Drosophila melanogaster: one gene and its partner. The protein of the gene in region 1 purifies or fractionates together with the protein of each later gene. This does not show direct contact. Each region holds a gene or a part of one and is shown on either strand. Other genes may lie near its edges. The genes, in order: Fmo-1 and Cyp6d4.

The links.
Region 2: the proteins of Fmo-1 (region 1) and Cyp6d4 purify together in Drosophila melanogaster (affinity purification with mass spectrometry, with the first as the bait; one large-scale study listed by BioGRID). This does not show direct contact.

Annotation. Positions count from the first base shown.
Region 1 is NT_033778.4:23,961,083-23,965,300, reverse strand, and holds Fmo-1 (Flavin-containing monooxygenase 1), read right to left. Parts: upstream 2,346-4,218; 5' UTR 2,242-2,345; coding exon 2,054-2,241; intron 1,995-2,053; coding exon 1,808-1,994; intron 1,756-1,807; coding exon 1,584-1,755; intron 1,527-1,583; coding exon 991-1,526; intron 927-990; coding exon 759-926; 3' UTR 660-758; downstream 1-659. Other genes in the region: Alas (aminolevulinate synthase), read right to left, coding at 1-416; CG13566 (uncharacterized protein), read left to right, coding at 2,854-2,895, 2,962-3,155, 3,220-3,299, 3,354-3,646; alpha-Catr (alpha-catenin related), read right to left, coding at 3,965-4,081.
Region 2 is NT_033777.3:22,696,407-22,701,124, forward strand, and holds Cyp6d4 (cytochrome P450 6d4), read left to right. Parts: upstream 1-1,912; 5' UTR 1,913-1,989; coding exon 1,990-2,678; intron 2,679-2,735; coding exon 2,736-2,938; intron 2,939-2,998; coding exon 2,999-3,654; 3' UTR 3,655-3,901; downstream 3,902-4,718. Other genes in the region: cd (cardinal), read left to right, coding at 1-943, 1,001-1,170, 1,231-1,526; CCAP (crustacean cardioactive peptide), read right to left, coding at 4,352-4,644, 4,698-4,718. UniProt on the Drosophila melanogaster protein: May be involved in the metabolism of insect hormones and in the breakdown of synthetic insecticides.

The DNA of each region.
Region 1 (4,218 bases):
TTTTCCGTCCGCTCCGAGTACTCCAGGGCGTGGGGGAAAAGCCCGTCGCCTGCCAGGCGGTTCACCTTCTTGAAGACCCTGTAGGAATGGTCCCGCTTCTTCTTCATGATCTGCTCGTTGAAGAAGCGCTCGTAGGGAAAGGTCTCCTTGGCGGATGCCTTGCCAGGATCGGCAGAGGCGGGGGCGGAGACGGGAGCGGTGGCGTTGGCAGTTGCGGGGCCACCAGCATTGGCGTGGGCGTTCGCCCCCGTCGAGTGAGACCTTGTAACACTTGCGGCGACGAGTGAAAGTTTCTTCTCGCCGGATACCAAGGTCTTCCCAACCACGGGACAGTGGCTCCCGTAGGATTGGCACAGCGTCTCCGCGTAGTTGCGGATGAAGCTGGCGGTGAAGCGGTTCAAGAACGGACACTGCATGACGAGGCGCTATTCCACTTTTGAAGACCCGACCTAAATCAGCGAACTTTGAAAGCGAAGTGAGGTGTTCCGAAAATTATGCAAGAAGGTGATTGCGAGGAGGCGGGCGAGTGTGGCCAGAGCTGGTGAATGTGCGCTGCCCGCAATCAGCTGTTTGGAAAAATACCAACAAACATGTTCAAACAAATGTTTGCCGGTGTTCAAAAAGTTTTTGTTCGAGAATAAAAGCTCATTTTTTAAACTGTTGTTTTGGAATACAAGAATTGGAAATTTATTTTATTTCGAAGGGAAGTCCAAAAACGATGTTTTGGAATCTAATGCTCCTATTGATTGATTCAGGATCTAGTTGAGTTTAATGAATGTCTCGTCGTCCAGAATCGCGAAATTGTCCTCCCGGAAGTGGAGCAAATTCTCATTGAAGCACTTGCTGCTTTCGTTGTGCAATTTGGTCATCACAGGCTTGATGTTCTTAACTCCTGCAGTTTGCGACAAGTCCGTGAAATAGTCGATCTTGATAATAAATGAGAATAGAATTAATAACCAGATAGAGAAGTAAAGCCAACTTGCATCGCACTTGCTTGGGACCCAGCATGTGGGCATGGCGTTTTCTTAGTCCCTCCGCCCACAGTTTGCCCATCCTATCGCGGGTGTCCTTGAGCATATCCTCCGTGGACGGCAACTCGTTGGATCCGTTGTAGTAGCTCATGATGAACCTCGCTTGGATGTCCATCATTTGGGCGGCACAAACGTAAAACGGCAGTCCGATCAGAGCCATGGATGGGTTCCTGATGTTGATGCACTGCTTGTACAGCTCCTGGACGTAGTTGTCCTCCACATAGATGCCCGAGTCGACGGTCAGGAAGGGAAAGGCGTACTTGTAACCTGTGCAAAAGAAGACGGTGTCGAACTCCTGGTACGATCCGTCCACGAAAAAGGCTCCCTTCTCATCGAGCTCCCGCACATCGGGTTTCTGCTGTACGTTCTCGAAGAATGAGTGTTGCCCGATATCGGTCAAGTGGTGACTTATGGTGACCCGATCCGCCGTTCGGGAAATGATGTTCGACAGGTCCATGCCACTGGGACCAGCTCCAATGACCAGAACGGATTTACCTTGAGCAGAATGGAACACCATGTGAAATAACCTAATAGAAGTTATTCCTTAATTACCTTCGAAAACCTCCCTACTTCTGAAGTCGTGGCTGTGCAGGAACTGCCCTTTAAACCTTTCCATATTCGGAATTTGGCTATAATTCGGAGTGTGGTAGTGGCCATTGGCCACCAAGACCTTGTCGAAGTACTGGAACTCTATCTTGTTGGTGACCAAGTCTTTGAAAAGTACCTGCAAACGTTTCAGTTAAGTGGTTATATATAAAGCTGACTCCACGACTTACTTGCCACTTTGTTTTCCTCTGCAAAACTCGAATCACATAGCTATCGAACTTGATGTGCTTCTTCAGGTCGAAATGGTTCGCGTATTGGTTAAGGAAGTCGCAGATCTCGTCGGATCTCACATAGGAAGCCTCGTTTGCCCCGATTTCGAAGTCCGGGAAGCCCATTACCTCCTTGGGCAGGTTGGTTCTTTGAAGAGGCCCGGAAACTCTTAGAATATCAAATGGTTTTTCGAAAGATTTACGTACCGTAGGTTCTTGTACATGCTGCTGTGGACATCGATGCCATTGACCGCCCCTGTTGCCTCATTGTAAACCCAGGTGCCGCCGATTCGGTCAGATAGCTCGAACACAGTGGTCTCGAACCCATTTGCAATCGAATGGCGGGCACAGCAAAGACCCGCGGTTCCGGCCCCAATTATGCAAACGCTCATCATATTACAGTATTGGTTACAGCTTATATTAATTTTAATTGCTAGCTGCGATCCTAAGTGAGATAGGCCGGGATTGCTTTCTACACGCCGATTGCCTCCACGAAACTGAGGATCGCACCGTGATGAGCTCTTTGGCTTCCCCGCCTGATAGCCCTGCAAAAGTTGGGTACTTGGACTTCATTGAGAGGTTCGCTGAGGCCTTTAAGTAGTAAAATTATGCAAGTCTAATGAGAGTATCTTGCATTCGCAATCCGTATGAATCGCTGTGCTTGTTTTTTGTAATCGCGCTGATAAGAAAGAGCATAAAGCCTCTGCTTTTGTCTCGCCTTTTGTTTATGGGGCATATAAACATATATATTTATTATATTAATATTTACACTGCCGATAGGAAGCATAGGCGGCACAGCAATTGCCCACAGATGCTCAGATGTGCTCGATTCGTTGAGCAGTTCAAGGTTTTGGGCTATTATGGACTATGGGCCATGAGGCCAACTTCTTTGAGTTCGTCTTTTCCCACGCTAAACTGCGAAATTGAATGTGAGAAAATTTGCATGGGTCAGGCGGATTCGGAACGTACGTGCCGCAGTAGCAAAGTGCACGTCAAGATCGTCTAACATGGGGCTACCAGCTTGCATCTGCACCAAAGTTCTCCAACTGGCGAGTATCTTCGAGTTAGAAGGAGACTTTGAGTTACCTTGAATGATAGAGATACATCCCCATTAGATTGCCACGGTGGCGGCCCTGATTGTAAAGCGATTGTCGGACAAGCACTCGGAACGGGTGTTCGCCATCAACAAGAAGCAGTCCAGGGAGTGGACCCTCCTCAACAGCATCTCCTGGTCGAAGGAGGGCGATGACTTCGGCACGCTGACCTTCGTGGGCTATACCTTCATTGCAGCTGTGCTGCTGCTCACGAGGTAACTAACCACCCAGTGACTATGACATATATATATATGATATGCTAAGACCATCTCCTCTTAGGATCATCGAGGGCACCTCAAACTATGGCACCTGTGAGATAATTCTGTTGACCTGTGGCGTTCTGTTCTTCACCATAGAGGGTAATATGGCTCCTGGGATGCAGTAATGTCAGAGTGATGAACTCTCTCCTCCAGGACTACTGATATTCTTCACGGTGGAGCAGCTGTCCGAAGATCTGCTGATATTTGCCTATGCATTGGGAGCACTTTGCTTCATCTGCGCCGCTCTGTTCGCCCTGGACCTGATGTTCTTCAAGAACCTGCTGAAGCTGAGGGACTCCACCGTCCAAACAGACCAGTCGAAGGAAACAGTGGCCCTCAAGGTGTACAATCTTTCGCAGGAACCGAAGATGAGCTGCTGCAACATGATGCCCCGCACTCACATCGTGAACGAAAGCAGCAGGAACTATCTACGCACCGACTTGTAGACCCAAGTGAAAGAGCTCGAGATACATATGTATCTGCATCTGCGTTACCTTTATTGCCGTAACATCGAATGTAGTGAAACAAAATATGCATTATAAGATCGTGCTGCTGAAACAACTAATTGGACTCGTATGTTAATAAAGTTTTCGACATTAATCAACGCTAGAAGCGGCCGCCAACTAATACGCGTACACAAAACGGAATGCAGTGCCAACAGTGTAGACTACGATAGCAAAACCCCCGGGCTCCTCTCAGAACAGCAGGAAGGACACCCTCGTCCTTCGCGCATCCCCCTTGGCTCGGCGAGCCATCCCGTAATGTCAGGGAATGTCGCTGCTGCTCGTCGTCCCCTTGGAATCGCACATGCCGCCGGCCATGTTCTCGTTCGACCGCTCCGAGGTGAGTCCTCCGGTTATGCCAGTTAAATTTAGTTTGTACTGCAAGGCGGAGCAAGGGGATTAGGATTAGGATGGAGTTCGTAGAGGAGCTGGCACTGCAGCTTATGAGTGGCCAAAACCAATTGTTGGTTAAAGGTCACAGTTGGGTTAGATAAACACACGATGGGGGATCTTAT
Region 2 (4,718 bases), on another chromosome or scaffold:
GTCCACGGATGCAGCTGAACCAGGCCACGGCATTTATCGATGCCTCCGTCGTGTACGGCAATCTGGAGCAGCGGCAAAATCAGCTGCGCAGCTTTATCAACGGATCTCTTCGGATGTTTGTCACGGATGATGGTCGCCAGCTATTGCCCATTTCCTCGAATCCGGCAGATGGCTGCAATCGTGTCCAGATGACTCGACTGGGTAAATACTGTTTCGAGTCCGGCGATGATCGGGCCAATGAGAACCTGTTGCTCACATCTATGCATTTGCTGTGGGCTAGACATCACAACTATTTGGCTCGACAATTGCAGGAGCAGAATCCACATTGGGAGGATGAGCGGCTCTACCAGGAAGCCCGAAAGATTCTTGGTGCTCAGATGGCACACATCACCTACAATGAGTTTTTGCCAGTGCTGCTGGGGAAGAATATCAGCGAGGCCAAGGGCTTGCTGCCTGCCAAACACAATCTAAATGCTCCGGATACGTATGACCCGGAGGTGGATCCAAGTATTGCCAATTGCTTTGCAGCAGCCGCATTTCGATTTGCACACACTCTTCTACCGGGATTGTTTAATATCTCGAGGGATAACAGCACTCCCGAGGCCATCGAACTGCACAAGATGCTCTTCAATCCATTCTCGCTCTGGGCGGAGCATGGCATTGACCACGCCCTGATGACAGCGGCCAATACGCCGGTGATGCAAGTGGATCGCTTCTTTTCACTGGAAGTCACGCAAAAGCTTTTCGAAGGCACCGCAGAGGATAGGGTGCCTCTTTGTGGACTCGATTTGGTATCCTTAAACATTCAGAGGGGTCGGGATCATGGCATACCCTCGTATCCAGTCTTCCGTCGCCATTGCCGCCTGCCGACGGTGGACACGTGGGAGGAGATGTCACAGGCCATTGACAACGCTACTCTGGACTCCATCCGGCAGATTTATGAGTAAGTAAAGTTCTCGATTATAGTATTGCCTTAAAGGTAAACACTTTTGGTTTTTAGATCTCCGCAGGATGTGGACGTCTATACGGGTGCACTTAGTGAGCCGCCACTGGATGGAGCTATTTTTGGTCCGTTGCTCAGCTGCATGGTTTCCGACCAGTTCCTACGCCTCAAACTAGGTGACTCCCATTGGTACGAACGGAAAATGGGCCCACAGAAGTTCACCAAAGGTGAGAGTCCTTGGAAGTCCTATTTTCTCATTAAGAATCGTGTTTATCCTGATTCATAAGCTCAATTGGCGGAGATCTACAAGACCAGTCTGGCCGCCATCATTTGTCGCAACTCAGATGGAATCACCCGAGTGAGGGAGCATGTTATGCAGAGACTGCGCGATGGAGGTAATCCCCATGTGGATTGCCAGGACCTGGAGGGATTCCATTTCAATTTCGAACCCTGGTCCGAGAAGCAACAGCCCCAGGATCTTCATAGTGCCGGCATAAGCAGGGGATCCACTTCGGTGCGAGTAATGTCCAAGGCAAATCATCAAGCCCACAACGTAACCCTACATATTGATAAAGGAATCTAGTTAGAAACAAGATTCAATTTTGATTAGGAAGGATTTAATATTAAATATTATAAAAAACATATACTTCTAAACCGGTTCCTTCTATTTTAAAATAGAGTTGCTATGCTAAAGTTAGTTAACTAAACAGCAGCCCATCATAAATCAACAATAAGTCAACGAATTCTAAGATTATAAATCAACTTTTAAGTATTTTGTATATAATAATTGTTAGCTTATAACATAAGAGCTTTGTTTTGCATTTCACCATTAATATAAAGCTGTCATCAAGACTATCAATGTAGCTTTGTTCATTTAGAATTCTTCGCTGTAAAGAATTAAGAGAACGTTACTGCCAAAGAGAACAAATAATCGACGAATTTCAGCGCATATAAGTGGAGGCTCTCCAGTTTGATAGTCAGTTATATATTGACTTTCGCAGAGAAAGGGTGGATTTAAAAAAAAGAAAAGGTGCACTACTTCGACTATGTTTTCGCTGATTTTATTGGCCGTAACGCTATTGACTTTGGCGTGGTTCTATCTGAAGCGCCACTATGAGTACTGGGAGCGACGCGGATTTCCATTTGAAAAACACTCCGGGATTCCATTCGGTTGCTTGGACAGTGTGTGGCGGCAGGAGAAGAGCATGGGCTTGGCCATCTACGATGTGTATGTGAAGAGTAAAGAGCGCGTCTTGGGCATTTATTTGCTCTTCCGTCCGGCTGTTTTGATCAGAGACGCCGATCTGGCTCGCCGTGTTCTGGCCCAGGATTTCGCCAGTTTCCACGATCGCGGCGTTTACGTTGATGAGGAACGGGATCCCCTGTCGGCCAATATCTTCTCGCTTCGCGGTCAGAGCTGGCGATCGATGAGGCACATGTTGTCGCCATGTTTCACATCCGGAAAGTTGAAGAGCATGTTCAGCACATCCGAGGATATTGGTGACAAGATGGTGGCCCATCTGCAAAAGGAGCTGCCGGAGGAGGGCTTCAAGGAGGTGGACATAAAGAAAGTGATGCAAAACTATGCCATTGACATTATAGCCTCGACTATCTTTGGCTTGGATGTAAATAGCTTCGAAAATCCTGATAACAAGTTCCGTAAACTGGTGTCGTTGGCCAGAGCCAATAATAGATTCAATGCCATGTTCGGCATGATGATCTTCCTGGTGCCCTCGTAAGTAATAAGTGAGAGTGAGTTTTGCTATGGTGTGTCTAATGGATGTTCTTGTAGGATAGCACAGTTCCTATTCAGAATAGGTTTTAAAAATCCAGTTGGCCTGGCCATGTTGCAGATTGTCAAGGAAACCGTTGAGTATCGCGAGAAACATGGAATAGTGCGCAAGGATCTGTTGCAGTTGCTCATTCAGCTGAGGAATACCGGCAAGATAGACGAGAATGACGAGAAGTCCTTTAGCATTCAGAAGACACCCGATGGTAAGTCATAATACAAGTTAAATTCTAATCAAGATAGATTGAGTGGTTTAACGTTTTCAGGTCATATTAAAACCATATCCTTGGAGGCCATCACCGCTCAGGCTTTTATATTCTACATCGCTGGTCAGGAGACCACCGGATCGACTGCAGCCTTTACCATCTACGAGCTGGCTCAGTATCCAGAGCTACTGAAGCGCCTGCAGGATGAAGTGGACGAGACACTGGCCAAAAACGACGGAAAGATCACCTACGATTCCCTGAACAAGATGGAATTTTTGGACCTGTGTGTGCAGGAAACCATTCGCAAATATCCGGGTCTTCCCATTCTGAATCGTGAATGCACCCAGGACTACACAGTACCCGACACCAACCACGTCATTCCGAAGGGAACGCCAGTTGTGATCTCCCTGTACGGCATTCACCATGATGCAGAGTACTTCCCGGATCCCGAGACCTATGATCCCGAACGCTTCTCGGAGGAGAGTCGCAATTATAATCCCACTGCATTCATGCCGTTTGGCGAGGGTCCCAGGATTTGCATTGCCCAGAGGATGGGTCGTATTAACTCCAAACTGGCCATCATCAAGATCCTACAGAACTTCAATGTCGAGGTGATGAGCAGGAGCGAAATAGAGTTCGAGAACAGTGGCATTGCCTTGATTCCCAAACATGGAGTGCGAGTGCGTTTGTCCAAAAGAGTGCCTAAATTATCATAAAAATTACAATTGCAATGATGAAATACAATAGTTAAGTGGCTAGCAAATCACTCCGATTATTTGGAATGATAAGAGATTACCGTCAGATAAAAAACAAAAAGTGTACAATAAATTCATTATCAAATCATTAATTAATATTTAAATTCGAAAATAACTTTTATGAATTAACATAGTTTCTTGTTATAATAATGTTACTTTTAACTCGCTCTCTATTTATAGGTATTATGTAAATTATAAAGTTGAAATGAATATGTGTGTTTTGTTAATTTATTTGCTAAAGTTGCCTAGGTGCAATCCATCTGTTTGCTGTTGAAATACCTTTTATGATTGTCCTTATCGTTATCATAAGTATGCAATGATACGAGAACCAACTGCGATTACCAATTACTAATGTCACCAAGAGATAGCATAGGGTAACATATTGTATATTCAGTGTGGTAAAAATAATGAACTTTCTAAACCGTTTTCTATAATCAGATGTATTACCAATAAATACAATAGACCAGAAAACAACAAAAAGTGAGGTCAACAATTTTTATTGAATGCAATGCCAGTGCTGTGGAATTCTTCACAATTCAAGGAGTCATGGATAAAGATAGTATGTACAATAACAAAAGCAGTGTGCTAACCGTCCAGTCAATTTGCTTTCCAGAAATCCGACTATTCCGATAATTCCGATTTATCCGATTATTTCGATTTATTTGCTTTCGCGCTCCTCCAATTGCTGCATCTCCTTTTCATTTTGCAACATTTTCTGTTTGTTCTTTTGCCGAAAGATTTCCTTGCTGGCTTCTTTGATGGCCTCGAAGATTTTGGCCTGCGACATGATTTGCTTTTGAACATTTTCCACAGCTGGCTCGGCATTGATATCGATCAAATCACTTAGACCTTCGGATAAATACTCATTGTTATAGGGTTTCTCTTCGACTTCGTTGCGTTTGAATAGCGAGAATGGCGGATACGAGGGATACGTACGCTTTCGTCCACAGCCTGTAAATCGTCCGGATTGTAATGGATATTATTATATATTGTATTAAAATTACCTGTAAATGCATTGCAAAACG